4 linked regions of the Xenopus tropicalis genome follow. The protein of the gene in region 4 purifies or fractionates together with the protein of the main gene of each other region. This does not show direct contact. Links are inferred from orthologs where the notes say so. Each region holds a gene or a part of one and is shown on either strand. Other genes may lie near its edges.

Region 1 (7,988 bases), on a different chromosome or scaffold from region 4:
GCTTTCACTGCTCTGCACATAATATGGTTTGGGAAGAGTGGGATAAACAACTGCATGGCCACAACTTTAAAATGTGCAAGTGAAATACTGCACAAAGAGTTTGGCAACAACCCACAAGAACACTGTAACTACCAGCTGTGAATGGCACAGTGTGTGATATTCAGTGTCCTGCACCAAAATAATGAGTGGGATGCTTTGTGGTTGCTTATAAAAGAGCCCCCCCCTCCCCATATTGATTCGCCTGTTCCATTCTTTCTGGGTATGAATTTTTCCCCCATTGTTTTTTCTACCTCATCTCTAGGGATCCCACAGTCCGGGCAGCAGATGGATGATGACAGGAGACATGTGGGTGACATCAAAGAAAAGTTGGTGACACATTGTTGCCAGGCTTATTGTGTCAGGGGGCAGGGCTGTGACACAGGGATCAGTGATTGGTTGATCACCGTGTCATCCAAGGGGAGTCCTGTCCAGATTCCCTTATTTGGAAAACCTGGCAGGCAGTTTTGACCCAGACAGCCTTTATGAAAACTGGGCTGTCAAAACCGGACAGGTGGCAACCCTACTCACCTCTCTCAATAATAAATCTTGGTTAAAAGGACATGTAGTGTGGCCCGCACGTGAACCTACAACAGAATGTTGCTGATGTGGCCACAGAGGAAGTAAATAAAGAGGTTGCACTATGGTGCTCTCCTTAGACATTAGATAAAGAATCTCAGACCTGCATCAAAATATCTATATAGCAACATTTGCTCAGAGTTTGCCTAATTGTATGGGGCAAATCAAAGGTTCTCTGGACCAACTTCCTGTTTAGCAGAGAGCATATTGTTTGCACTGATAAATATGACGGGAGGTGCCATATTGTATGCCTCATAAGAATAATCTCCAAAAAACTATAAACACATGACAGAACCTGGTGTGGCACAGTTGTGCAGGCCCTGTTGTGGAGCGTTCCCTGCTGGGGATTGGGGCTGGCAGCAGAGCCAGGCAATAGTCTGTCTGGTCTTGTCACTGTCAGTGACTGTATTGTTGTCCCTAGCTGTACAGCAAGTTGTGCCAATGGGCTGCTCCATTAGGGTTAACAGGCTCCTATTACAGAAGGACTGTGTGATTATTCTTTTAAAGATAGAAAAGAAGAAAAGATTATTACCGCAGACGTCTCAAAATACTCCAGTCCATTGCTTGCTGCCCACTCTTCTGCCTGCCCCCTTTCCACTGCTCTGCGGCCTGCCATGTCTGTCTTGTTCCCAACAAGAACACCTTACAAAAGCAAAGAGGTAGACACTATTAGCCAACTGGAAGAATGGAATAGGAGCAAGGAATTAAAGGGATGGTTTACCTTCCGGTTAAACTTTTTGAATTATTTGTCTTCCTCTTCTGCAGGGCCGGATTTTCCCTGGTCATCTCCCCATCCAACAACAGCCCCCAGGAGTGCGCATGTGCGAACAGCGGGTGCGTGTGCATGCGCGGAAGACCGAACTTGCATACGGAGCAGTGGGGAGAAGTCCCCATTGCTCTGTAACAGAACAAAATTTCAAAATTTTGGTGTGGTGGGGCTGCATGCCGCCCTCAAGTTGTGCCGCCCTAGGCCCGGGCCTTTGTGGCCTCTCCCCAAATCCAGGCCTGCTCTTCTGACTTTCCAGCTTTCACATGGTGCTCACTAACCCCAGCAGCCATATTGCTCTGGGAGGCTACAATTTTTTTCATTACGGTTACTTTTTTTTTTTACTTTCTATTTATGCCCTCCTCCATTCATATTGCTGTCTCTCCTTCAAATCACTGCATAGTTGCTTGGTTAAATTGGACCCTAGCAACCAGATAGCCACTTCAATCCAAACTGGACAGCTGCTAAACAAAAAGCTACATAATTTAAAAAAAAAAAAAAACACAAATAACAAAAAATGAAGACCAACTGCAAAATGTGGTGCAGCATGCTGAGCTACAGGTGCAAGGGAACCTTCCACACTGCACTGCTCCCAGGTCTCATACTGTATGTGGTTTCTATTGCATTAACCAACAAGCAAGCTGTAATATTGTGGCATTGATGTCAATTTGTCTGACATTTACAAAAGGACGTATTTTATGCCCACATTTGTGCATTCCGTGCCTGGCAGTAGGTGCAACATTTCTGATGAGTAGTGACAATGAAATTTAGGGAACAAAATAACACTGCATTGTGGCTAAAAAAGCAACTGTTTTTTGCTTTGTTGCCTTTAGTACCTGAGGCCCTTTCACTCCTTTCAATCAGCGACACACAAAATAAGAGAGAAATGAATGCATGCTACACAAGGAAAAGGAACTTTCCATTCTCTGGCACCAACCTGGGAGCTGAGGGCTGAATGTCTTCGCTCTAACTCTCTGCAACCACTTTGCGCAGCTACTGAATGAGCTCTCATTGGTGACATCAAACACCAAGCACAGGGCACCCGGCTGGTCCCACTGCATGAAAAAGAGCATTCAGAGAAAGCAGCATTAAAAATAGAAATGCTACAAAAAAATCTTATTTCTAATTCCTACATTCCCCCATAAACATATATTTTCATTTTAATTACCATTATAGGGTACCCACATGGATCCTGTAAATGATGGGCACACATTTCTATACACAATCATAAATGCATCGCTGTTTGTCCATATATTCTCATGTGAGAAATGCATTGGTTACTCTGGAAGCTTTATCCTTGCCTATCCTCAAAGTACTCAATTAGCCTGTACTAGTGAATTAGACATTGGATCTTTTATCAACATATGCCTTTTTCTACTACATCTTAGTAGTCCACCAATTCTCTGGAGTCTCTTTCGTCAAAAATGACTGGGAAGAGGTGAGTCTCTCTGGAAAGCTGCTGATAATTGCTTGTTTTGGCAACCCTTGGTTCAGAATGACTTTTGGGAAGAAAGCTCAAGATTGCTCCTAAAATTTCTAGTTATATGGGATACCCTATAGCAGTGGTCCCCAACCTTTCATACTTGTGAGACACAGTCAAATGCAAAAAGACTTGGAGAGCAACACAAGCATCATAAAAGTTCATGGAGGAGCCAAATAAGGGCTATGATTGGCTATTAGACTGCCTCTATGCACACATCAGCTTACAGGAGGCTTTATTTGGTAGTTATTATTGTCTTTATTCAACGAAAACTTGCCACCGAGTCAGGAATTCAGAAATAACTCCCTGGTTTGGGGGCACTGGGAGCAACATCCAAGGGGTTGGTGAGCAACATGTTGCCCCTGAGCCACTGGTTGGGGATCACTGCCCTATAGGCTGAAGTTTACCCATTGGGTTTTAAAGAACAGGCAGGGCAGTATGCTGGTCAAATTCCCAACTACAGACCAGTTTTCCCCCCTAGCATATGTAAAGCCAGGGAAGTGGATCCACAAGAAACACATTTTTGTAGAGATATCCTTATTCATATGCAAAGCAGAAGGAATTAGCCCAGGATTGCTCTGACCTAGCTGAGCTTTAAACCCCAGTAATGTAGAGAGTGCTATTTTGAGACAATTTGAAACTGGTCTTTATTTTTTATTTGAAGTTTTTGAATTATTTTGCTTTTTGTTCAGTAGCTCTTCAGTTTGGAATTTCAGAGGGTATCTGGTTGCTAGGGTCCAATTTCACCTAGCAACCAGGCAGTGTTTTGAAAAAGGCAGCAATATGAATAGGAGAGGGCCTAAATAGAAAGATAAGTAATAAAAAGTAACAATACAATTGTAGCCTCAGAGAGGAATAGTTTTTGGCTGTTGGGGTCAGTGACCCCCTTTTTAAAGCTAGAAAGAGTCAAAAGAGGAAGGCAAATAATTTAAAAACTATAAATAAAAAAAGACCAATTTAAAAGTTGCTAAGAATAGGTCATTCTATATGGGTGAACTACCCATTTAAGTGTATTCCATGTTAAAGTACATTTTAGGAGTGGGTTTCCTTAATTCGCTCCTCTATTCCTGTACAGCAGACTGTAGGTGGGTGGCAACCTGAAGGTCAGTTGCAGTGACATTTTGGGAGAATGCCTGCTTGCTCTCCAAGATACACCTGAGTTCAATTGGGGAAAACTTTTTTGTTGTTGTTCTTAAAACTAAAGCTAAATGACCTGTATCTTTTTAGCAAAAAGGGGGACCTGATTAAAGGCTTGAACTGAAAAAGTCCAACAACCACTGCTGTAAAACATGATGCCGCTCCTTACTGATTGCTAAGGACATTCATTTTCTAAGACAGAAGCTGCCATACTGATTCCCTAAAAGAAGGGGTTCTTTAAAACCTTACTAATCAACTAGAAGAGATGTGTTCATATTTGCACAGTCATGCAATGATTTGCATTCTCCAGGGCCTTGGTTACACAGGGAAATAAGTGTCAACTCTCCCCTTTTCTTCTTTTCTCTTCCCTCATTTAACGTGGAATAAAAGAAGAAGAAAACATTGTGGGTTACCATTATAATTGGAAAAATCAGGGTAATAATGTTTCTTATAAAATGACCTCTGTACATAATCATGAGCTTAAATGGAACCAGCATTACAACTGCCTGATTTATTTTTGGATTGGATCAAGTAGAAAGGAGCTGTATACTTCACAGCCTAACCATTTATTAGGTAAGAAAAGACAGGAGCCTTATAGTGCGAGGTGCTTCAGATTGGATTGCGTAAGACTCAGCACGGCGGGATTGGCTTCAGTAGCTTTGTCAGAATGAACAGAGGGACTTACCAGCTTCTCCGTCACCTCATAAAAGATTGCTTTGCCAGGACTGTCGCAGAGGAAGAGCTCCTGTAAAGGAACAATGGAATGAGCTGGGCTTATATGTGAAGTCTCAGAACAGACTGCATAATGGACAAAACAGAAAAGGCAGGTTAGCGGAGAGGTGTGACCCTGGGCTTAATGTTTTATGGCCCAATTATTATTTGTGCAAAATGCCCAACTGGCAGAGCATATATGGTTAAATTAACTTTACCCAAGTGGGTATAAATAGCTTGTGCTGCCCCAGGCTGTTAACCCCTACCATCTGGGAAATATATTATAACCATATTTTCCAATCCGCAGATAAGGTTGCCACCTACTGGACTGCCCCAGACATCACGGTTCCACCCCTGACATCACCAGCGCACCCCCCTACCCCACATCATTGTGCATGGTAGGAAGTGATGCATTACGTCACTTTTTGTCCAAACAGGTACCCCCTATCCATTTTGGATGTAGCTGGCACGTATCTGGTGAAAAAAAAAAAATTCTGCTAAAAATGTTATTTCCCATATCACCAGTCAAGAGCATCGCCACTAAAGCTGCTGCCCTAAGCTTGGGTCCTAAAGTGCCTATATGGGTAAATATGGGCCTGGTCCCACAACCTTTGTCTGGCTTTTGCTGGCAACCCTATTCACAAATGTCTCCGATTCTCCAACCAACCCTTATTTGATTAACCTTGCAAAGGAAAATAATTGTTGAATCTACAGAAAATAAAATAAAATTGTTAAAAAAAAAAAACAAAAAACAAAACTACAACCAGTGTAGAAGAAGCCAGCTGTGAACACACATTCAAAGCATTGTGGGAGTCTTGGCTGAATGAGAGCTGGCTTCTTTTACTTTGCTTTAAAAGTCAGAACCAGCTGTGCAGAAAGGGCCAGAAAAAGACTGCTTTCTACAGGAGCGATATTTACAAATCAGAAAAGCACCCTTACCACACTATCTCCAGTATCTGGTATCTGAACGTTTTTTACAGAAACCTCCATGCTAGTGGTCTGCAAGGCAAAAAATGACATTGTAGTTTAGAAAATGTCAGTACTGGTGATCAAATGTACACAGCGCCAACAACATGCAAAATCCAGAAACCCAGACACTACTTCCCAATCCCGTTGGTACCCTGCAGCCTATATCCACCATAAATTCAATGTATTTCTATTCGGCATGACCTACCATACTGTAATTCTTTGGGAAATGGCTCCCATCACTCCGGAAGAGTTGGACCAGGGTACTTTTCCCCACAGTTGTGTCACCTGTGATAGCAAAGGAACATATGTCACACACCTTCACTCAAAACATTTTATTTCAGCTCTTAAAGGAAAATATATCCCACTTGTTGACATGAGTTCCTTCAGTTGGGGCTATGCTAAAATGGTGCATAACACTATCTGACCTGCCAGAAATAAATATATAGATTTATTTTTTACACAGACATGCCCGATTCCTCAGATTGAGAGGAAACCATTAGAGCCTGTCTCTGATTCGCAGGGACCATTTCCTAACCCCTCCTCAGCAGAAATACTCAAGCCCTCCTCTCACCTTGTTCGATGAAATATTGCAGAATAATGTTCACCCTATATGATTCGAGGAACACATGTCCTTGGGCTTTAGCTTGAAGGTTCACCTTTAAATTAACTTTTGTATGACACAGGCAGTGATATTCTGAGACAACTGGCAGTTGGTTTTCATTTTTTATGATTTTTCAGTTATTTAGCTTTTTGTTCAGTAGATCTCCAATTTAGAATTTCAGCAGATGTCTGGTTGCTAAGGTCTTGTTTACCTTAGCAACCAGGCAGTGGTTTGAACGAGAGACTGAAATATGAATTAGAAAGGGACTGAAAAGAAAATTAAGGAATAAAAAGTAAAAATGATAAAATTGTAAGTTCAGTGATAGTTTTTTTAAGTACTGGGGTCTGTGACTCCCATTTAAAAACTATAAAAAATAAATAATAAAGAACAATTTCAAATTTCTAGGAATAGGATTTTCCATAACATATTATTATTTAACTTAACCACCCCTTTAAAATGATACACAATATCCAATAAAATGTGTTTTATAAGAAGGCGCTCAAAGAATCAATAGAGAGACAGGCATAGTAAAAAAAAAAAAAAAAATTATTTTAATTGTGAAGGGTACAAATGACCGAATGCGTTTCATGCTGGATAGTACCAAAACACGAAGGCCATTTGTATCAGAGAGATAAGCATAGGGGAGAGCTATGGTTTGGGGGTTTGCCTTGGCACCTCCCTGACTTAGCCTGGCTCTGTCTGTCTGAGTACCTGCTTAAAATTAGCAATGTTTATAATATGGTGATTCTAAACGTGCTTTATAAATGGCAGATTCTTGTTCATCAGGCAGAGATTTGATTATTTTTCTCAATACCAAAACCAATGCTCATCCCTAACCTCCTTGTAAATTCTCCCTTAGAATATTCTACAAATAACCCAGCTGATAGTACTGTTGCAAAATACACTTTATGTGCCTAGTCTTTATACACTGTCTGGTCTGCCCAACATAAATGCAACTCGGTGAGCACAAACACAGAGCCACCCGCCATATCACGTAGCAAAGCCAGGGACATTCCCCTTCTTCCACTTTGTACCAATAAAGGTCTCAATGGCTTCTTAATACAAGCGCAATAAACTCTTCAGGGGTCTGTAATTATGGGTAAAGCAATTCCGCTGCTCACTAGTCTGTTTAATGGCACTCACAGCTAACATACTCCAGACATGCAATTTCTTCCCTTACATAATCATGCGCCCTGTTGGGCAGTATTGTGTTCTTTATACATAATATGGTAATGTATATAATCAACACTGCCACTTACTCCACCAATTGAGGCCACATGGTAGCTGTAACTTTAAGTGTCATGTAAACAGTGGTATTATCACAAGGCTTTTAATAAATGGACGCCGTGCCCTTTTATTGTTGCCCCCTCGAGGGTGCATAATCTCATATAAAGGGAAGGCATAAGCCGCAAAAAATGGGGGTGTTAAAATAAAGGTCAATAAAAAGATAAAGCATATATTTAAGGCAATTAGAGCTTTCCATTTATCACAATTACCTTTATGTGCTATGAATCATGAAAATAACACAAGCCAATTCTTTGCTGATGGACGACTTACTCTGTGCTACAACACTGCACGCTTATCATTATACACACAACCAGAACATAAAACACAATAGTCTGTCTAGTTCAACCATTAAAAGAGAGAACTAAACCGTAAAAAAACATCATGGGTAGAAATGCCCCCCCCCCCCCCCAGCTCTCCCCTTA
Region 2 (7,988 bases), on a different chromosome or scaffold from region 4:
ATGGCCACGTCGCAGTAGAACAATAAAGTAGAACAGAAGTCTGTCTGAAGGGAGGTGCAGAGCCCCCAAAATGTTGTTCATTGTGGTTACAGTTGTTAATGAACAAGAGAATTGCACAGCAAAGAAGTGGTGAGTGCTATGGCTTCTGTTCTACTTCATTATTCGTTAGTTGCAGCCCCAACCCCAATCTACTTGATAACCACTTTAGCACTCGGCTTGCTCTTACTTGCTACTGACTCTGCAGTGGTAGCCTCACTCTGCGTCTGATTTATGAACCACTCGGCAATGTACTGTCTAATTGGTAGTTTGAAAAAGAAAGCAAAGAAATGAATGCATGCTATGGGTAAGTGCACTGGTTTAGTATAGCACCTGTATTGGTAAATTAGAATCATTGTGACCATATGCTGTTTACCGATAATAAATTCACACAGCTGACTTCTTTTGTCACTTCAGTGGGCTGATAAATGGAAGCTTTGGCTGAATAAAGGAGAGCTAAAAATATTTTCTGTGGCAGAACACATCTTGTGCAAGAGAAGTGCTGATAGCAGGCAGATAAGCTGCTACTGCAGATACTGCTTAATATCAGTACAGGTATAGGACCCGTTATCCAGAATGCTCGGGACCAAGGGTATTCTGGATAAGGGGTCTTTCCGTAATTTGGATCTCCATACCTTAAGTCTACTAAAAAATCAATAAAATATTAATTAAACCCAATAAGATTGTTTTGCATCCAATACGGATTCTTTATATCTTAGTTTGGATCAATATCAAGGTACTGTTTTATTACTACAGAAAAACCCCTTATCTGGAATACCCTTGGTCCAGAGCATTCTGGATAACGGGTCCTATACCTGTGTGTGTGTGTGTGTGTGTATATATATGTATGTATATATATATATAATATATATATATATATAATATATATATATAATATATATATATATATATAATATATATATATAATATATATAATATATATATATAATACATGTTTTGCTATACACATGTTTATTCCCTTTGTGTGTATTGGAACAGAACAAAAAAGGGAGGAAAAAAAGCAAATTGGACATAATGTCACACAAAACTCCAAAAATGGGCTGGACAAAATTATTGGCACCCTTTCAAAATTGTGGATAAATAAGATTGTTTCAAACATGTGATGCTCCTTTAAACTCACCTGGGGCAAGTAACAGGTGTGGGCAATATAAAAATCACACCTGAAAGCAGATAAAAAGGAGAGAAGTTCCCTTAGTCTTTGCATTGTGTGTCTGTGTGTGCCACACTAAGCATGGACAACAGAAAGAGGAGAAGAGAACTGAGGACTTGAGAACCAAAATTGTGGAAAAATATCAACAATCTCAAGGTTACAGAGATCCAGAGATCTAGATTTGCCTTTGTCCACAGTGCGCAACATTATCAAGAAGTTTGCAACCCATGGCACTGTAGCTGATCTTCCTGGGCGTGGACGGAAGAGAAAAATTGATGAAAGGTTGCAACGCAGGATAGTCCGGATGGTGGATAAGCAGCCCCAAACAATTTCCAAAGAAATTCAAGCTGTCCTGCAGGCTCAGGGAGCATCAGTGTCAGCGCCAACTATCCGTCGACATTTAAATGAAATGAAACGCTATGGCAGGAAACCCAGGAGGACCCTACTGCTGACACAGAGACCTAAAAAGCAAGACTACAGTTTGCCAAAATGTACTTGAGTAAGCCACAGTTCTTCTGGGAAGACGCCTTGTGGACAGATGAGACCAAGATAGAGCTTTTTGGTAAAGCACATAATTCTACTGTTTGCCGAAAATGGAATGAGGCCTACAAAGAAAAGAACACAGTATCTACAGTGAAATATGGTGGAGGTTCAATGATGTTTTGGGGTTGTTTTGCTGCCTCTGGCACTGGGTGCCTTGAATGTGTGCAAGGCATCATGAAATCTGAGGATTACCAAAGGATTTTGGCTCGCACTGTAGAGCCCAGTGTCAGAAAGCTGGGTTTGCGGCCGAGATCTTGGGTCTTCCAGCAGGACAATGACACCAAACATACATCAAAAAGCACCCAGAAATGGATGGCAACAAAGCGCTGGAGAGTTCTGAAGTGGCCAGCAATGAGTCCAGATCTAAATCGCATTGAACATCTGTGGAGAGATCTTAAAATTGCTGTTGGGAAAAGGCCCTTCCAATAAGAGAGACCTGGAGCAGTTTGCAAAGAAAAAGTGGTCCAAAATTCGCGGTGTAAGAAGCTTATTGATGGTTATAGGAAGCGACTGATTTCAGTTATTTTTTCCAAAGGGTGTGCAACCAAATATTAAGTTAAGGGTGCCAATTTTGTCCAGCCCATTTTTGGAGTTTTGTGTGACATTATGTCCAATTTGCTTTTTTTCTCTCCCTTTTTTGTTCTGTTCTAATACACACAAAGGGAATAAACATGTGTATAGCAAAACATGCTGCAATACTTTTCTGTAAAATACTTGATTTTGTGGAAAAAATTCTGGGGTGCCAACAATTTTGGCCATGACTTTATATATAGTAAAATGAGGATCGAAACGCGTTGATGCGATGATTAAATAATAATTTTTTACTTCAAAATTTGCCTGGGTGCAGCATCCAAAATTCGGAAACAAAGTAGAAAATGAAGAAGCCGCTCTCACAGGACTTATGTGAAAAATAAAGATTCCTTTAATGAATAGTGGACTGACGTTTCGGCTGAACACCTCAGCCTTTCTCAAAGTGAGAAAGGCTGAGGTGTTCAGCCGAAACGTCAGTCCACTATTCACTTTATATATATATATATATATATATTATACACATATATATATTTATATATTTATATATATATATATATATATATTTATATATTATATATATATATATATATATATATATATGTGTATAATATACACTCACCAAAAGGATTATTAGGAACACCTGTTCAATTTCTCATTAATGCAATTATCTAATCAACCAATCACATGGCAGTTGCTTCAATGCATTTAGGGGTGTGGTCCTGGTCAAGACAATCTCCTGAACTCCAAACTGAATGTCAGAATGGGAAAGAAAGGGGATTTAAGCAATTTTGAGCGTGGCATGGTTGTTGGTGCCAGACGGGCCGGTCTGAGTATTTCACAATCTGCTCAGTTACTGGGATTTTCACGCAAAACCATTTCTAGGGTTTACAAAGAATGGTGTGAAAAGGGAAAAACATCCAATATGCGGCAGTCCTGTGGGCGAAAATGCCTTGTTGATGCTAGAGGTCAGAGGAGAATGGGCCGACTGATTCAAGCTGATAGAAGAGCAACTTTGACTGAAATAACCACTCGTTACAACCGAGGTATGCAGCAAAACAGATTTAAGCTGCTGATTCGAGCCCTTTAGACCAATTTGGCAGCTTAGCTGTCTGTGTATGGGGCCCCCTGATGGGCGTACCAAATCGATATCTGGGTGTTGATCGGTAGGTTTGATTTTCCTGTTGGATTGGGGATCGCATCAGCTCATTGATACGGCTCCGGTCCTACTGCACCTGTGCCTGCTGTTTATTTAACCCTAGGGCCAAATAAAAGAATTAGCCCGATATCGCCTACCTTGTTTGCTGACCTCCCCAACGAATGGGTCTCAACATGTTTGACCACTTTGAGCCATGTTTTTAAAGCTTTTACAGTCTTGCAGTCCATATATTTTTTCTCCTAGGGACAGCAAAGCAGATGTCTGGCAAGGTCAGAGGCATGGCAGAACTTGCTATCAGTAGTGAGGATGAAGAGAGCACAAAGGTAACCATAGACACTATTTTATAATATTTTACAGGTTATAACACAAAGTTTTCAAATATGGGATATACTTATTGGCAAAATATCCCAAATCTTTATTAGACAGTAAGTTAAATATAACTTTTAGGCTGTTGGCACTCTGGGTGCATTCTATGCTGACTTATTTCAGTTGAAAAGTGGTTTAGCTAAAGTTTCACTTAGTTGTATAATATCTCTGGTACTGTTTGCTTTTCACCATAAAATATATTCTAAAGAATATTTTTGGGCTGAAAAGCATCATTACTACTTCTAGTACACTTTGGTAATAGTAATGCCAAAGTAACATAAACTGTATTTGAGAATTCACAGCAGTGCCAGCTTCCTGGGTTTCCTGCATGAAGCACAATTTTTCTAGTAAATTATCCTCCAGTATCACTCTAAAAAACAAAGCCATTGAACCTATTAAATGCTTGAACTAGGACTGCAAATCACTTGTTGGTTTGGAATGTTTGCCAGAAAATGCTAGAGAATGCATAGGCAATAGGTGCCATTCCAGCTGTAGTGTGGCTACACACTTGCCATGTGTTAATTTCATTTATTGTGTATGCTTTCCAGAGTGGAAAAAAGAAGAAGGCAGGAAAGCTGGGAGATGTTCGTGGTGCTCGCACACAAGGGCTTACAGATGATGAGGATACAGAAGATACTGAAGGGGATGATGAAGATGATGATGATGATGACGACAACGATGATGATGACGAGGATGATGATGATGATGATGATGAAGAAGGACATGCAAATTCTAATGAAGGGTGAGAGAAAATTAATATATATACTTTCATATGCCAGTTAAAACAAAAAGGCAGTTTTCAGTGGTATGCTAATGTGAATTTTAAGATGAAAAAGTTACATGGCTATTGCCATATTTGTTGTTCTTTTGCACCCTTAATTGTGCCTGAAAACAAGAACAATTCTCTGTTTTTGTTATATAGTATTTGGTAATTTTAGTTATAGTGTCAGATTAAAAATACTGCTGAATTTACTGTGGCATATTGATTTGCTTTTTCTTGTATTAAACTTTTTTCTGCCATTTTGCATTTTAAGTTTGCAGTACAGTGGTGTAACAACAGTATTAGCCATCTTTTGTTATATGTTATTTCCACAACAGGCTATTCTATAAAGATAGCTTACAAATCCATCAAACATGAAAGGACCACTGAGTTGTGCCAAGAATAAGTAGACATCTTTCCATGCCAAAACTGTCTAATTTCTTTTAAAAGCCTATATTAACAAATATAATAACGGAAACTGATACCTAACTTGATAACTGCCTTACTAATATCCACAAGGGTCTTGTTACATGCACATTAAATATTCTGTAATTATAGTTTTCTTTGTTACATACATGTATGATCAAATACCAAGAGCACATTATTTTAACTGTCTGTCATTTGTAAGGCTAATGGCCCACCACATGTATTCTCCCTTGGCAAAAATACCTTCAACTTGCACGTTGCTTTCCATTAACTTTTTTCGGCAGAAAGCCACTTGAATATACAGCTGCAGGCAGTTGCCATAAAAGGGCTGACAACACATGGTTTGACATGTTGTTTGCTGATAGGAATCAGTCAGTGGAGAAAAGCTGGTAGAGGACTCCCAACTTTGCAATGAATTAATTATTGTGTTCGTAAGTCATTTGAATGGACAGATTTGCCTAGTAAGCTAAGGGCAAGGGCCCGTGCACCTGTGTTTTGTAGCCAGGCAAAGAGAAGTGTATCTGCTCCTATTGACTTCTAGTTTTAGCTGCACTGACAGGCACATCTTCGGCCTTAGTACAGTTACATGGAGTGAAGCAGAGATTTGCCCAAAAATTGCATGCTTTTGCTGGGATCACCAGTAAGTGATTAGAAAGACTGCTGTAAACTCATTACTATTTGGCTCTTTAAATAGTTTTCTGTAATTATCAGCATTCACATGAACATTGTAATAACTGGTAGTTGTGCCATATTAAAAAAATAAAGTAATACAAAACTTTTGCTGTCAAAAAATGTTATCATCCGATTCCAGACAGAAATAATATGTAGGCACGAAGATATGATGTGTGTTTTAAGGTCTATCGTTAAATATAAGTATTTATTTTAATGTCAATATTTTGATTTTGCTGGTGGATCTTTCTCAAAACAAACACCTAAAAATTCTAAGATGACTGGCAAGTACAGTATTTGCAATGCTCCAATACCACGCCCCCATTCTAGAGCACAAGCATACAAAGTGTGCTTAGCAACACAACATATCATACTAAAGTGAAATGTAAATCTCACCTCATCCATACACAACTTTAGGTCTATGGAGGGATGGCAGTGTAATATTTAAAATAATTCACAGCTGTTATGCTTATAGGCCTTTGAAATATCTTTACATTTGTACATTATTTTTACTGAGGTAGCAGAATGGTAGATGCTTTCACTGTGAATACTGAGTTTGACAATACTTGCTCTCTCTCCCTCTTGTAGTTACAACCCAGCAGACTATGAACACCTTCCAGTGACGGCTGAAATTAAAGAGCTGTTCCAATATATTACCAGGTAAGAATAAAGTAAAAGTAAAGAGATGATACTGATAGTGCCATTGACAAAGTACAAATGGTTTGTAGAAATATGGTTACGGCTAGTTTTTCCCTACATGTTTCATTTATTTTTGTGTGCCATTAGCCTCAATGGTATTTAATTTTGTTCAGTCAGCAAAGAGTATAGTTTGAACATCTGCACACTTCCCTCCAATTATCCAATTATCTCTATTGTATAGTACAGGGGTTCCCAACCGCCAGGCCGCGGACCAGTACCGGGCTGTGGGCAGCTTTTAAGTGGGCCGCCTCTGTTCCTGCCCGCAGTAAAAATGCAGGCGATACAAAGCATAGTAGCATTAGACTCTATTCTATTTCTGGGGTATTGTTGACAAGTTTTGACCGATTTAATTTTGCCACCCCTAGCTAAAGAAAATGGGATGAAATGTTAAAACCAATGCCATATTACCCATATATTGTCCCATAGTTGACCTAGATGAATGATTGCACTTTGCAGCAATATCTTATGAGATTAGACTCTTAACCTGTAGAAGAAGGGTATTTTTCTATTGATGTTTTAAGGGGGGCAAACGCTTGTTGGTACAATCCATAATTTGGATCAAAATTAAAAAGTAGGGTTGTTTTGCAATAATATACCATTAAATACAAGGAACTGTTTACAGAGGAAATAGGGTTTGTTTTTTTGTTTTTTTTTAAAAAAAGGTCATTATTTGCTTAAAATGGACTATTTAGGAGATGGCATTTCTGTACTCTGGAGCTTTCTTGATATCAGCTTTTTAGTTATGTTGTCACATACCTGTATTTTATTTATTCTTTGCCACAATGATATTAGTTGTGCTAAGACTTAAATCCCCTCAGTCCTTGGTTTAGCATGAGTGTAAAAGAGAGTCAGCCACCCACTTCCACTTACTTGGGATTGATGATTTTGCTGGGGTGCTTAGTAATTTCTAGCTAGTGCAAGTGGAGTGGAATCTTCTCCATAGCATGCATAGTGTGATAGCTGGAAAGGCAACAAATTATTTTAGCATTTTCATTTTCTACCTCATTTTCTTTAAGAGTATATATTACTTTCTAAAAATGCCCTTGAGATTCCATTGTTGTAAATTACATGGAGTGCTCTCCTCGTGTAGACAAAGGAGTAGACAATGCACAAGAAGACAGATCTAAGTGAACGTTTGTGTAACAGTGAGCCTCTCTCTTTTTTTTTTTTTTGTCTTAGATACACCCCACAGGTCGTAGAACTGGACTACAAGTTAAAACCATTCATCCCAGACTTTATTCCAGCAGTTGGAGACATTGATGCCTTTTTAAAGGTGCACAACCTTTACTAACTACTTTGTCTAGTTAGTTATGCATTCTGATTTTCTATGAATTTATTAATATTAATAATATTAAAATTTGGCCTCAAGCTATAGTTTTATTGTTATTATTTTACAGACATTTTGAAAGACATTGGTCAGTCAGTTTAACTGATGTTCGGGGGCAATTGTTGAAGTGGTATGTTAGGTGAGGTAGAGACAGTATACAAATTTTGGTGATGTTGATGCTTCAAAAAGAATTTTGTAGTAAGTGTCTGGTGTACATCTCTTAACAATGTTAAAACATAAAAGTAACCCCTTTCATTTCTACTTCTTATATACATTTTTAGCAAAACATTGTAGTAGGATATTG
Region 3 (6,928 bases), on a different chromosome or scaffold from region 4:
CCTCAACAGCAAACGAATGTTACAGGGGGAATTACCAATATGATTTTGATTGCTCCTTGCCCTGTCTGAAGACAGATTTGTACAGCTTGAAAATGGGGGGCTGCATCTGTTTGAGCAATACATGGCTGTCACTAGACATGCAGCAATCGCCTTTCACTATGACTATGAATGGGGGGGAAGGAGCTGTAGTGTTTTGTTCCCCTCCCTTGATAAATTGCTGGGACAACAAACAACTACTCTCTGTGTGCAGTTACCCTTAAGCTGGATTTTTAAGCATAACCAGGGTTATTTCTGATTTCTGAGCTTGTTATAGCTCAACAATTTAGTGCAGGGACCTTTGCTCAGCATATGCAAAGCCAAAGAAGTGGGTTCACACTATCAGCAATGCTACATATGGGGGCTCTGATCACTTATTAGGGACATCAAAGTATCAGTGATTGAGTTAGAGTAGGGTGACCATATCACTTGAATATTTAGGTAAACGTCTAGAAATTCCATCTACGAAGGCTGAACCGATTGCACTTTATTTTAAATGCAATCAGTGCTACCCTGTAACATGTAATTATTAGATGTGTCCCTGAATTTGCAAGTGATCTGAAAAACCACAACAACCACCTTCCCAGCACATTAACACATTTGCCCAGCACAGGAACACAAGAATTTATTCAGATTCCCACTGCTCCTTTTAAAGGTTACATAAGCAAGAATGGTATGGTGAGGGGGGTGGAGGTAAATATCCCAGATAATTCCTAAACATATATGGGTAAATCAAAGCACACTGTAGCACAGGAACTTATGTTGACAAAAAGCAACTTGCACACAACTGCTTCACCCCTTTGCCCCCTGCTGGACAGGTACTGAATTTGCTTATGATGTAGGTTTCTGTACATGGTTTATTTATGTAGAGACAAACTTAACAAACCACTACACTTACAAACATAAAGAAGGCCACAATTTCACTAAACTAGTAATGACTGGCCAAAATTCAATAAACAAAAAAATAAAACTAATATTAAAATCATTTTTATATAGTTAACAAAAATATATATTCAAATTTTTTTTTTACAAACAGATTTATACAGTATATGAAATGGCGCATAGAAGCTTACAATCAGTAGGCCCCAATTGAGGATTCAGGAATATTAAGGGCATGCATATCTCGAGTCATGTTGGATTTTTCCTTGAGCGTTGATTGAAGCAACGTGTGCTCCACTACCCCAGTTCTTATATCCATCTGGACAATTTCATGTTTTAGCTTTGTTAATGCCTGCTTAATCTTTACCAGTGGTGCTGCAGGAAAAATGAAATAAATAAAATCAGTTTTACTCCTCTTCTTTAATACAAACAGACCAGCCTTGGCTACTTTTCTACTGAGTGCCCTACTGCCATCTTCAGTCACCTCCCAGCTATCTGCCTATGATTGTAGCACAGCACTAAACAAAGGTACTCCAGGGTGCTGTGCTATTTACAGAGGAGGTGCACCTGGCTAAAAAGTAAGTGTTTGTGGTCACTGGGGGAGTCTGCTAATGTACATTAGAAGTAGCTGCACCTGTATGTGTAAACACACACAAAACAGACAGCAAACAGGAGGCCAGGTTAGTAAATACTGCCAACAGCTGGCCTATGCTATACCAACTTGCAGAGAAGGTTATAAGAAAGTTAAGCTTTGTGTAACTTGCTACTTAATATTTAGTCCTGTTTGGGGAAATGATTTTTGGGTAAGTCATGTGCTTTTCCAGTTACACCAGATAAACAATAAACAAATAAAATAAAAAAAAGTCTCACCACCATCAGTCATGCTACTCCCCTTTTCTTCCATTTCCTGCTTTACTTTTTCTAATTCCTCTGTTATCTGACAATAAAGCACAAAGGAAATATGTAAAGTAGGAATGAAGTCATGATGACACTGCATCTGTTATTACTAAAGGAAATGCTTTACCTCAGCGAGGATTCTGGTTCTCTCAGTTACCCCTCCACTTGCTTGCTGGTATCTTTCTTTTGCCTAATAAAGGAAACCCGAAAATATAATTTTGCATGTAAAAATATTAACCCAACATTCATTTGTACAGTATCAATTACATATAAGCCAAATCACTTAAGATTATACAAAACATACACCCCTCTTTACCCTTGGTCTTTGTCTCTCATCAGTAACTGTTGTCTACAATCCTGTCTCTAAAAATAGAAAGGATACAGTTGAAAGACTCTTTTTCCAAGAGACTAACACTGTGTTATTCATGTCTGCAACTCACAATAAACAGAAATTCACCTAAGGCAAGCCTATGTTACAAGTAAAAATATAGCTAAAACATTGTGCGACGCCTTCAGTGAGTGCCACCATGCTGCAGCTACAATATACCCTGTTGTTCAACATAAGTCCTATGAACAGGGCTTGTTCTGAAGATATTTTTTGCCTCTTGATTCATTCATGAAAATCTTTTCTTAGTTCCTGAGCTAAACAGGGAAACTGAAGCTATTTCATGTTTAGTCATGGTGAGATATATAAGATTAACAGTATACAATTCCCTCTTTTCCACTTCATGTACCCATGGCCTTAGTGCATATTCTGTCAGGCTGAGAAGACTTGCATTCAGTGGGGCTGAATCCAGGGCATTCACACAGTGTAGTGGGGATACTGTGTAATGTAGTTTGTGAATGGTAGTAGCCTTCAAGGATAAAATCCCTTGGTACTGCATTAAGGACTTAAGTCTGCACTTCTTGAATTGAACAGTTTTTAATTTGTCTTTCTAAAGAAAAACAGAAGAACAATGAAGTGAGAATGTGAGGGTACCTCGCTCAGCTGAGCCTGTACAGATCGATACTCTTGCACCAGCTGCTCCAGTTGATTGTTGATGTACTTTTCACGGCTACTAACTTTCTCCAGTGCCTTGGCAACTTCATTGTGAAGTTTGTCAAGGTATCCCTGCAGTATAAACAAAAAAAAACCAAAAAAACAAAATCCATTACCCATCTATTATATAAAACTGCCAATAAAAAACATGGTTATTTCCCACTCAATAATGTGCTAATCTATAGGTTAAGTCAGTGAATTCCGTATTCCTGTTCTCTGTCAAAGTATTTTCCAGATTTACACAAACACACACAATATTATGGCTCACAAAATGTAGCTGTACAAAAGTTATGCCTGCTAATGTGGCTCTCGCTCATGAGCAGCAGGTTGCTCACCAACCCCTTGGATGCTGCTCGCAGGAGCCTCAAAGCAGGTGCTTATTTTTTAATTTCTGGCTTGGAGGAAAGTTTTGGTTGCATAAAAACAAAGTATAGACTGCCAGTCCACATGGGGCTACCAAATAGCAAAAACTGCCCTTTCTGGCACCCCAGGAACTGTTTTCAAGCTTGTGTTGTTCCCAAACTCTTTTTAACTTTGAATATGGGTCATAGGTAAAAAACCCTAAACAAAACTTTACCTTGGTTTCCTTTAAGGATGTGTCAATGCCATCTCTGTGCTGGTGCATCTGATCAACATGGACCCTCCAGTCCTATAAGCCAAAGATATAAATATGAATATAAATAAATGAAAAGTAAACCTAACTGGTAATTAGAATACTGACCAAATGATAATTACAAAAAGCAGGCCAATTGTGATTTTCTCAGCTACTGTTATGACGGTTATGAAATGGAGAAATTCAATCCATTACTGTTTAAGCTTGGTTAAAAAGTTTATAAAGTCACAGACACTAATCGCAGAGGTCAGACAGTGATAAGGTTATGTGATTTACACTACCATATATAGAGGCAGAAAATACAAACTTACAAAATGGCAGCACAGTGACCTAGTAGTTAGCATTGCTGCCTTAAATTATTCTGTGACTGTGTTTCCTCCAGCTGACCCTTCATTTCCTTACCACCGAATGGCTTAGTTGCTCGATAAACAGACCCTATTGTGTGCATATGCTTATTGTAGTAAACTTGACTGTAAGCTCCACTGCGGAAGGGAATAATGTGAGCACTGATCAACTCTGTAAAGTGCTGTGGAATAATAGAATGATGTCTAACAATGAGACCTTGTTGTCTGTCCTGATTGTGACTTTAAGCTGGGGCAGAACACGTTCCACTTCTAGGATCCATTCTGCTGCATCTGTGTTTGATTCCAAAATCTCTTCTGGTTTGGAAGATTCCTTTGTATTCTAAAGTAATACAGAAATAGGTTTATATGTGAAGTTACAAAAGGCCATTCAGCACTCAGTTTTAATGCATAACAAATTGGTATCTTGTGATGTTATACATTCTCCACAGAAATAAACATCTACTAGGTGGCACTATTCTCTTAAAACCTATAAAGAGTGCCTCATCTGAGAAAGTTCTACGGCAACTCAGTGAACATAGGTAAAGTTGTATGCACAATAACAGAATCTCCCCCATTAAAATCGATGTTAGTCTTACTTAGAAATATGGAACATGTTTTTTTGTTTTATTTGAATAAGTATCATAAGGATACAGACATATTATAACTAACTTCATCCCTATCGTGCCCAGAATCTTTCAGTTCTGTCTTGCTTTAGCCATGGTGGCAGTTGGTCTCCAGCAGAGCTTGGCAGCCCAATTTCCACCACTTATAAAGAAAACAGGGGCTAAAATTTTGAACCTGCACCTCAGTGTTTCACTCTTTGTGCTTCTTCACTATTAAAAGGCCTAAAGGGGAGCACTGCTTCTATCCTAGTAAATGAAGAACAAAGAGTCATCCCTAGGACATTGTATTCCTAGAATTAAGTGGATAATAAAATCATTTTAAAAGCCTATATATATCGTATATTTACATTCATGAAACAAAAATGTAACTTACCAGTTTCTGTGTTTGTGCTGAAAGAGCATTTAAATCAATAAAATGTTCCTGATCATTGTCAGAATCCTCTTCCTAAAAATGATACAGCTTTAGTTAACTTTTATACATGTATAGTACATAGACAACAAAATATGTGCATAAGCATCATTTCACATCACAAGTATATGTTTTAAATTTTCCATGGAAAACATCCAATGCCTTTACATAGTAAAAAAAAAAAAAAGTTATTCTTAAAAGGTACATTAAAGGGAACATGCATTTTTTAACCCTCTCTTAGCCAGTGCTCTTTCTAGGCCTGGCAGTTCTATTCAATGCTATAAGTGACCGCCATAACTAGAAACCTGCTTCCTAGTTCTTTACTGCTCTGCTAGGCGCCATGCCACTGGCATAGCATTAATTACCTTTTTTTAGTTGTGCCAACACAATGGGGCCGATTCACTCAAGTCCGAAAAAACGAGTGATATTTATAGCATGCGTTAAAAATATTATCACTTCTTATATTTTGAGAATTAAGGATCAATTCACTAAGAGGACACTTGTCAGAATTAAGAAGCGATGTAATTGTCGTTATTCTGGCAATGACATATTTTTAAGAGTTATTTTAAACCATGCAATATATTTATGCGTTATTTCGTAGCACGCGATATTAGCGCACGCTATTGCGCACGTAACCGTTACTTTCTGAAAACTACTGTTCTGAAAATTACCATTTCCCTGAAAACTGGAGGATGCATGACAAGTCCATTTTGTCACCACAGACAATCACCAGCTGCAATTTTGTTTAGTAACGCCTACTCGTGGGTGGCGTTAAGTTTCACAGTAATTATCGCCACATTTTATGCTTTTAATGCTTCAAATATGTTTGTGAATTACACGTTAGTATTATTTCTATTCAATAATTACCTCAATGCGATGGAAATAACGCTTTGCCATAATCAGGCTTTTTGCACATGCGATATGAGTAGTAACGAATGAAAAAAGACTTTGATGATTCGGTACTTAATTATCGAACACTTTTTAATGCACAAAACTATGCGTTACGTGTTAACCACCTTTAGTGAATCCGACCCAATATGTTATCAAACTGACTCCCTCATTTCTGAAAAATGACCATTACCTGCTCATGTATAGGGTCATGTTCTGACCCACAGTAGTTAGCAGTTGAAATTCCACATGATGTGGCCTGGGTCAAACAGTCAGAAAGGTGCAATCTGGGCATTCCCATGCATGGTCACATTTTGCAATGCCAGCAATCTTGCAGTGGGCAGAACCAGTGGATTCTTATGGAACAGAGAGCTACAAGATATTTAAACCTAGCTTAAACTAAAACTAGGATTGTTTCATATTTCTATCCCTATTATTTTTTACCAATTCTAACTGACTGTGCCTTTAGGGATACAAATTGCATTAAAATACAAAAGCCGTGCAGATACTCACAGCAATTTCATCTTCAATTTTGTTTAAAGTCAACTCAGCATCGTCCTCAATTACATTTTCTTCGTCTTGCTCTTCTGTTGGGTATGTAGGCCTATAATGATACAGAACATGGCAACGGACAGATTAGATACAATAAACATACTTATAAAAATCTTACACTGAGAACCCTACAAATATACTACTTTCTGCTTTCCCCTGCATCATTTACTTTATTTATCATCACTAACACCCCCTCTTAACAGGCACCAGCATATAATAATCTTTCTAATGTTAACTTACTTTATTTACTATTCTTTAAAATAATTTCTGAAACAAAATCAGGTAGTAGGCTATTACTGTGAATAAACAAACTATAACTATTATAATTATATTGTCATTTTAATGCTCTGGCACTCAGACCATGCAACATTTATCATCAGTTTACAAAGCACATATGAATTAGGGCCCCTACTTGTTAACATTTTGCGGAGTCATGGAGTGCTTCCACCAAAAAGCATGTGTAATATTATATTCTCTTTTCTCTGTGGATTATATAAAAACCTATTTAAATGCCCCTGCATCTGAAATCTTCCTGGGGTATGGTTATTTAACCAATGAAAGGTAAGATTTTTAAAAACCTATAATTAGGATGTAGCAGTGACATTCTAGAAACTTTTTCAGTTGTTCATGGGCTTCTTAAGTGGGGAG
Region 4 (7,988 bases):
TACTTGTGACAGCTACAAAAATAGACAATGCTGATCATTTACTGATAATTGTCTCTATGTGTGTTTTAGCAGAGGCAATTCTCAGCATTGTCTATGGCAGAGGATTTCCTGGGGTTTAGTAGCCATGACAAGTAGCTGCAACTAAGTAGCTCCCTGTTTCTTCACCTTTAGATAAGGGCTGTGATTTTGCCCCATGTGCTGGCCTGCTCTGGCTATTTGGTAGCCCCAGAAGCTGGCTCTGTGCTTCCAAAACTTGCCTCCAAGCTGGAAATTCAAAAATGGGCCCCTACTTTGAGGCCACTGGGAGCAACATCAAAGGGGGTTGGGAGCAACTTGACCAGTGGTTTTCCTGAGGTAACTAGAACATTTGCCAACAGGCCTGCATTTATGGATGAATATGAGAAGATCGAGGAGGAACTGCAGAAGCACTATGAGACCTATCTGGACAAGTTTCGTAATGTTTGTTACCTGGAACAGCAGCTGGAAGACTATCACCGAGTGGAACAGGAACGTTTTGAGGTAGTTTAATCTTACAAGGAAATACAGGTTCTTGTTTTTTTTTTTTTTTTGTAAACTTTATTTTTATTGTTTTTTTACATGTTTCATTGGTGCATTTATTTCACATGTTACATGTATATCTTTTTGTTTATCATAGAGAAAAAGGAAAAGGTTAGGGGAAATGGAAAGAGGGGGGAAAGGAGAGGGGAAACGGGAAGGGTATAAGAATCAAAAAAAACATTTTAACATTTTGCGCTCTAGGTCTCTAAGCTGGTACTTATTGTCCCTTACTAGCATTTCATTTTCACATTCACTTATTTTTTACTTTTATCCGTTTTATTTAGAGGGGGTCCTACCCATTGCATTGTGCTCGGTAGAGATTGTCCTTATTTAGTATCCAGGTGTCCCATATCTTTAGGTATAGGTCAGTTTCGTTGTCCAATTGATATTTGAGAGCTTCGTTGGCGTGTATATATTCTATTTTGTCCAGGACTTTCTCTATGGATAGTAGATTTGATTTCCATTGGGCTGCGATATGGATTCTAGTTGCCATGCATATATGTTGTGTTAAGCGTTGTGCAGAGTTATTGAGGCCTTGTAGTTTGTGTCCTAGGAGCATTGTCTGGATGTCCGTATGGAACATTTTAGAAAGGATAGTAGCTACTTTTGTCCAGAGTTCTTGCACTGTTGGGCAGGTCCACCATATATGCCACATAGTGCCTCGTGTGGCGCATTTCCTGAAGCAAAGTGGTGACGATGTGGGGTAAATTCGGGAAAGTCGTTTGGGGACATAAAGGGCCCGATTCACTAAAGTCCGAAATAAGGAGTGCTATTTATAGCATGCGTTAAAAATCTTATCACTTCTTATTTTTCGCTCGATTCACTAAAAGGACACTTGTCATAATTAAGAAGCGATGTTCTTGGCGTTATTTATCTTGCGACGACATATTTTAATGAAAAAAAACTATGCGATAAGCGTTATAGGGGCCGATTCACTAAAGGTCAATAACGCTTATCGCATCGTTTTTTTTCATTAAAAAGCATGCGATAATTAAGTACCGATTCATCAAAGTCATTTCGCATTTGTGTTAATCCGCATATCGCATGCACAAAAAAAATGCATTGCGTTAATTAGCAAATAGAAATAGTACAAACGCATGATTCACAAACACATATGAAGCGTTAAACGTGCAAAATATCGTGTTAATCTGTGTGAATATTAACCCTACTTGGGGCAGGCGGTACTTAAAGAAAATTGCAGTTCGTGAGCTATTGGCAACACAACATGGAGTTTGCAGTCGTATTTTTTCAAGTATATGTTGGCCCTAGAGTGATATATCCTCCAGTTTTCAGGGAAATGGTGGTTTTCAGAAAGTAATGGTTACGTGGGTAATATATTGCGCTCTGCGTAAAATATCGCGCGCTGCGTAATATCTTGTGCGCTGCGTAATATATTGCTTGAAAATATGTCGTCGCAAGATAAATAACGCCAAGAACATTGCTTCTTAATTATGACAAGTGTCCTTTTAGTGAATCGAGTGAAAAATAAGAAGTGATAAGATTTTTAACGCATGCTATAAATAGCACTCCTTATTTCGGACTTTAGTGAATCGGGCCCAATATGTCCTATGGAATAGTTTGAGTGAGGTTTCCATTATAGTTACGTTGTAGCTACCTTTGAATATATTTTGGTAGTTTTTGAGCCATGTTTCTTGGGGTATTTCTGTTTTTAGGTCTTGTTCCCAGTCTAGCATATGTTGCAGTTTATTTTTTGTATGTATATGATTTAGGTGGTGGTATAGTAGAGATAGCGTTTTCCGGCCCATTGGTGAGGCCTCGCAGATGGTTTCCATTGCTGTTTTATGCATGTTTGTTTTTCCCCATAGTTGTTGTATAAAATGGGTTATTTGTAGTGCATGGAAATGTTCAGTTGGGGGTACCTTGAATTTTTGCATTATTTGGGTTAGTTGTAAAGGTTTGGATCCGTCTGTGAGTTGGTAAGCAAAGGATATTCCTTGCTCTGTCCACCATTTGAATGAGTCCTTATTATATCCTGGGGTGAAAAGGTTGTTTCTCCATATTGGTGTCAGTCTTGAAGGCTTTGATGCTAGTTCATATTTGTATTTAAGTGTATTCCATAGTTGCAGCATTTGGCGAGTTATTGGTGATATGTCCTTGAGCATTTTAAGATCTTGAGTCGGATTCCAGATTAAGCTCATTAGAGAAGTTGGTTGTATTAGGGCAGATTCAATTTCGACCCAGAGTGGGGCTAGTGTTTCTCCATGAAGTGGGGCAATTTGGGCGCATCTTGCTGCCCTGTAATATTGTTGTAGATTTGGGACTCCGAGTCCTCCTTTTGATTTATGTAGGCACATTGTTCTTTTATTAATCCTTGGTCTTTTATTGTTCCAAATAAACGTCATAACAGTTCTCTGAAAGCTTTGTAGGTCTCGCTGTGAGATTGCTATGGGTAGGACCCTAAAATAGTACAGCAGTTTTGGTAAGGTCATCATTTTAATACAGTTAACCCTCCCCATCCAAGAAATTTGTTTCTTATTCCAGCCCTGCATTTCCTGTGTTAAACTTCTATATAGTTGGGGGTAGTTGCGTGTGTACATAGTGTCTAAGGTTCTTGTTTTTTTATCCCCCATTTATCGTTCATTTCCAAGTAATACTTGCAAATTTAGCTCTTACTAAGCCCATATTTTAAAAATCTTGGGTTTATATGCCTGGAAAAATCTAATGTGAATTGATATTATTTGCCTCTGTCCCATGAACTGACATTGCATATCCAAATACACTTAAATACCTTAAATACACTGACCCAATATCCCTACCCTTGTCCTGTGTTTTGTTTAAAGGGTTTTAATAATCCCTGTAAAATAAAACATGAACATCTCTCCTGCTTTTTTGGAGGCAGACAGGCCCTTGTATGGTTACTGAGCTGTGTATATAGGTGCTTGGGCCGGATATATTTTATATTAGCAGTGATTCCATGAAGTCCTGCTCAGTGTAATAGCTTGTATTCCTGTGTAACACTTCAGGCTGTATGTGCAATATCTTGCAGGAGGCAGAGAACACTCTGCGGCTGATGCAGAGCAAACTGCGGGAAGAAGAGAACAGACTGCACAAAAATGGCAGTAAGTATGTCTATTTGATATTTTCTGCTGCTTTAGGATCTCTGTTACCCCGGTATCCCATGTCTGTCTACTTGTGTCCTGCTGTTCTTCCTGAGCTGCAACCATCAGGCCCGGACTGGCAATCTGTGGATTCTGGCAAATGCCAGAGGGGCTGCTGTAAGGTGCCATAGACAGTCACTATTTATTGGGTTGGTGGGGGGCTGTTTGGGCCTCTGTGTACTTGGAATGCCAGGGCCTATTTTGACTCCCAGTCCAGGCCTGGCAACCATAAATACCAACATGGAATATGCCAACAGTAATTCATTGACCGCTGGGTGGCCACATTTTAAAGGTCCTTGCTAAAGGTATGGCCACATAAGGCTAGTTCTTGGCCTGTGGATGAACACAGGCCAAAATCAGCCATCAGGGCTGTGACACACGGGGAGATAAGCACCGCACAACAAATCTCCCTTGTCACAGGCGACTAATCTCCCCGAAATGCCATCCCACCAGCGAAAATGTAAATCGCTGGTGGGATGGCATACGTGGCGCCGCTATTTGTCGAAGTCGCGGAAGTTTCCTCTCAAGGCAACGTCCATGACTTTTACAAATCCTGGCGATTTACATTCTAGCCAGTGGGATGGCATTTCAGGGAGATTAGTCACCTGCGACAAGGGAGATTTGTTGTGCAGCTACTAATCTCCCCGTGTGTCACAGCCCTTATGCTATGACTAGCCTGCCCATGGGTCCACTGCTTCCAGTCAGGTGCAGGCACACAGAGCAGATTTTGGTACCAAAATGCACTCGATTTGCCTGTGCCTGACACACTGGATCCGAGTACAGTCCAATGGTAGGCTGATCGGAGTGTAGGGGGTGAGCCTGGTGTGGCATTGGCCTTAAGCTGAGGGCACATAAGGCACAGGCTCAGCCTCTCTCTGCCTGCTTTGTCCATACAGGCTGGATTCCCTTTATGTAAGCTCTAAATGATATAACAACAAGGAACAGATGCGTGTAGCCAGGCTGTACTCCCCTGGAGCATTGTGCTAATAGCCTGAAATCTAGTTTGTATATCTGCTTAAATACAACAAACAATCATGGACACTGAGAGAATGGAATAATATAGAATATAGATGCCCTTGTGAGGTAGAGTCCACACTGAATTTGTCCCAGGAGGTATCCATTCATACTCAGCTTGACTTTAACTCTCACCTCTGCTAATACAGACAACAACGATGACTCAGACATTGAATTCCAGGAAGATGAAGGTTCTGATGATATGGACCCCATGGAGAGGAGAACAGTGAAACCTAACAATGGCCGTATGGTAACCATTCAAGGTAAACAAAAATTGGATTCAACTTGCCATATGACAGTAATTAGGATTAAAATGAGGGTTTAGTAATATCAACTACTTATCATTTGCATCATCTGGAACTTATACTTGTTGTTTCCTAACAGGGAGATCCAGTAGCCACATCGTGGGGACGATGAATGGAGGAGAGAGCGAGGATGAAGTAAGTGCCATAGGCCAGATTTTCTATTCCACTATTGCCCATGATGCTGCACTGTGCTTTACTCAACCTGTATCCAGTCCTGTCCATACTCCATTTCCATAGCAGGAATATCCATCTTTGACCCTCAAGCTGTTTTTAGCAATGACTCTCAGCATGAAGGACAAGGAATGCTGGGAGTTTTAATTCTGTAACAGCTGGAGGGCCACAAGTTGGGCCTTGAGAGGTCTTGCAGTTACATGTTTTTCCCTACACATATACCCTGCACTTGTTTATTTTGTCCCACCTGCCATTCTTCTTTTTGGGGTTATTTCTTACGTTTCTCTGCGCTTTCCATGTCTTTTTATTTCCTTGCTTTCATTACGAGGTGGTGGGGCCGAGTCCTACTAAGAGGCATAGCTCAGAGGCTCACAGCAGTCAGAAACAGGTTGGTATGTTCCCTACCAACACCTTATGCGTGTCTCATTGGGTTAGACTGCAAGTAAGAACCTATTGCCAGTGTCTGAATGCAGCTCATACGGTTATTAGACACGCCTTTAGCCACTCCCATAGTAGTTCCTGGTGTCACACAGGAGAACCTTGTGTTGTCCCACCAACAGCAGCTGTAGTTTTAGTAACGGACAGTCTTATAAGCACCATTTTCAACACACAGGATGATTCCGATGACAGTGAGATAGACGTGGATGATGAAGATGATGAGGAGGAGGATGAAGATGACGATGAGGAGGACATCATGAGGGTGAGAGGTCACAACAAAGAAATATCTTTAGGCAAAGCTAGTCGGCGAGCACAGAAAGCAGATTCACTTGTGGAAAGTGACAATGACTTCTAGAACGGACCAAATCTCCAAAGCCTCGGGACTAATGCCTTCAATTAACTTTGTGTTATAAATGCACCTCCTCTAGAGCATGCAACTAGGAAGTACCACCTGGTTGTCAGGGTCACTGACCCCAGTAACCAAAATAATCACATGAATGTCAGGGTTGAGCTTTTTTCTTTTCTTTTTTTTTATTGTTATTTAAGTTACTCATCTTTCAAACTCCTGCATGGTTGCTAGGGCAATTAAGCCCCAAGGCAGAGAGCGGCAGAACAACCATAACTGTAAATAATTACAAAATAGAAAATGGAGACTAATTCAAATACTGTTGTCTGTATCATGTAGAAGGTTACTTTTAAGATAAATTCTTTATATAGACGTCTAGATTCTGTTCAAAGATGTAACAGGCAGCAGCCCCCATGTTGGGGTCCAGGAGAGAAGGGGCCTGGTAAGAAACCTTGCCCCGCCTATGTTTATGTCACATGCCCTGCAGCAGGGGGCCAGCACCGAATCAACATATGATTTTAGGGAATACGTTAAAGAATCAAAGCACTTGATTGGCGAGAAACACAATTTTAATCCTCCTGTGCATTTATACCGTTATACTTCCCAGATACAGAGCTAAAACACTACATTACAGGCTCTCAGGTCTGCACTGAGATTCCAAATAGGCCCTGGCATTTCGAGCCCCAAACAGCCCCAGCCCAATAAATAGTGACTGTCTATGGCATCTTACAGCAGCCCCTCTGGCATTTGCCAACAGATTGCCAGTCTGGGCCTGCTGGCTCTGCATGTCTCTCTCTAATAGAACTGAGGCTTTTAATTGGACAGTAACCCCCAATATAAAAACCAAATGGATCTTTCAAGCTGTTTGGCAGTTCCATTTCCGTAATCAGCATCTTTTATTGTTGCTATTCTTGCAGACGTGACAAAGTTTGACTTTTGAACTCTATAGATTTTTATGTTGCAGGTAGTATATCCAGTTTTGTTAAACTTGCTGTTTATTTCTATTGTTAAATAAATAAATGAATGGATATTGGAACAGAAGCCTTTCACTAAGTGCACTCTTCCTCCATCAGACAGATGATCAGATCTGTTTGCTGTTCTGGAATTGTCCCAAGCCAAAGACACTATACAGGCAAAAGTATCCGGACACTCTGTCTCAGAATTTCTGGAAGCAACATCAGCAGAAGAACTATTTGTAGGAAACATGGGGGGTTTTATAGATGATCAGAGCAAACAAACCAACATTAGCTTACTAACAGGGCTGCCACCAGTAATCATTGGGCCACATTCTTCTAATTCAGCTGGGGCCCCAGTTATTGGTCAGCTTGGCCCTCTAGGTGGTGAGTCCTGCCAGCAAGTAAAATGGTGATTCTGTTTAAAAAAAAATGCCACTTACATTCATGACTACACCCCTGATCTACCCTGGTCTCTAACAAATTACACCAAAGCTCTACAGTCCTCCCAAACTGCCCACTCCCCTGCAAGCCCTGCCTCTGTTGAAGAATGAAAATCACTCTTTTTCCATCCCTGAGCCCTTGACTGCAGTAACCCATGACTTACCCCCGATGGTGGCCCTGGTCACTGCCAGGCACTCCAGAGCAGGGCAAATACATCGGGGAAATCTCTCTTATGTTCCAGCACAATACAGCCCCCAGGCCCCCAGTCAGAGCGATAAAGAGTTGGTCGAAAGAACCTGATTGGCCTGCACTGAGCCCTCAACCCAACTGAACACTTGTGGGATAAACAAAAACACTGACAATGATCACACCCTGACACCCAAAATCAGTTCCCAACCTCGCAGGGGCTGTATGGACCCAAATTTAACCGTCAATTTCCCAACATCTTGTGGAACCTTCCCAGAAAAGTAGAGGATGTTATAGCAGCAATGGGATGTCCAACCCCATGTTGATCATCTTGGTTTGAGAATGAGATGTTGAAGAGGCAGGCGTCCAGATACTTTTGCCCATATACTGTATGATGGGTTCTGATGGCACCTATATGTATGTATGTATATATATATTTACAGTCCTTTATTAA

The links. Proteins that work in one complex are often made in the same cells at the same time.
Region 1: the proteins of cluap1 (region 4) and ift27 purify together in Homo sapiens (affinity purification with mass spectrometry; 3 studies listed by BioGRID and IntAct, with this or other methods). This does not show direct contact. The link is inferred for Xenopus tropicalis from reciprocal best matches to the Homo sapiens genes CLUAP1 and IFT27.
Region 2: the proteins of cluap1 (region 4) and ift46 purify together in Homo sapiens (affinity purification with mass spectrometry; 3 studies listed by BioGRID and IntAct, with this or other methods). This does not show direct contact. The link is inferred for Xenopus tropicalis from reciprocal best matches to the Homo sapiens genes CLUAP1 and IFT46.
Region 3: the proteins of cluap1 (region 4) and ift57 purify together in Homo sapiens (affinity purification with mass spectrometry; 4 studies listed by BioGRID and IntAct, counting the BioPlex papers as one, with this or other methods). This does not show direct contact. The link is inferred for Xenopus tropicalis from reciprocal best matches to the Homo sapiens genes CLUAP1 and IFT57.

What each region holds. Positions count from the first base shown.
Region 1 is NC_030680.2:123,414,726-123,422,713, reverse strand, and holds part of ift27 (intraflagellar transport protein 27 homolog), read right to left. Parts: intron 5,964-7,988; coding exon 5,884-5,963; intron 5,709-5,883; coding exon 5,649-5,708; intron 4,744-5,648; coding exon 4,684-4,743; intron 2,437-4,683; coding exon 2,319-2,436; intron 1,258-2,318; coding exon 1,148-1,257; intron 1-1,147. UniProt on the Homo sapiens protein: Small GTPase-like component of the intraflagellar transport (IFT) complex B that promotes the exit of the BBSome complex from cilia via its interaction with ARL6. Not involved in entry of the BBSome complex into cilium. Prevents aggregation of GTP-free ARL6.
Region 2 is NC_030683.2:80,568,094-80,576,081, forward strand, and holds part of ift46 (intraflagellar transport protein 46 homolog), read left to right. Parts: intron 1-3,680; coding exon 3,681-3,760; intron 3,761-4,351; coding exon 4,352-4,545; intron 4,546-6,246; coding exon 6,247-6,318; intron 6,319-7,536; coding exon 7,537-7,630; intron 7,631-7,988. UniProt on the Homo sapiens protein: Forms part of a complex involved in intraflagellar transport (IFT), the bi-directional movement of particles required for the assembly, maintenance and functioning of primary cilia. May play a role in chondrocyte maturation and skeletogenesis.
Region 3 is NC_030678.2:103,602,475-103,609,402, forward strand, and holds the end of ift57 (intraflagellar transport protein 57 homolog), read right to left. Parts: intron 6,333-6,928; coding exon 6,242-6,332; intron 4,877-6,241; coding exon 4,805-4,876; intron 4,149-4,804; coding exon 4,026-4,148; intron 3,501-4,025; coding exon 3,429-3,500; intron 2,924-3,428; coding exon 2,792-2,923; intron 2,003-2,791; coding exon 1,940-2,002; intron 1,853-1,939; coding exon 1,786-1,852; intron 1,291-1,785; coding exon 1,112-1,290; 3' UTR 874-1,111; downstream 1-873. UniProt on the Homo sapiens protein: Required for the formation of cilia. Plays an indirect role in sonic hedgehog signaling, cilia being required for all activity of the hedgehog pathway.
Region 4 is NC_030685.2:20,709,406-20,717,393, reverse strand, and holds the end of cluap1 (clusterin-associated protein 1), read left to right. Parts: intron 1-377; coding exon 378-519; intron 520-3,565; coding exon 3,566-3,638; intron 3,639-4,840; coding exon 4,841-4,954; intron 4,955-5,075; coding exon 5,076-5,131; intron 5,132-5,780; coding exon 5,781-5,960; 3' UTR 5,961-6,977; downstream 6,978-7,988. UniProt on the Homo sapiens protein: Required for cilia biogenesis. Appears to function within the multiple intraflagellar transport complex B (IFT-B). Key regulator of hedgehog signaling.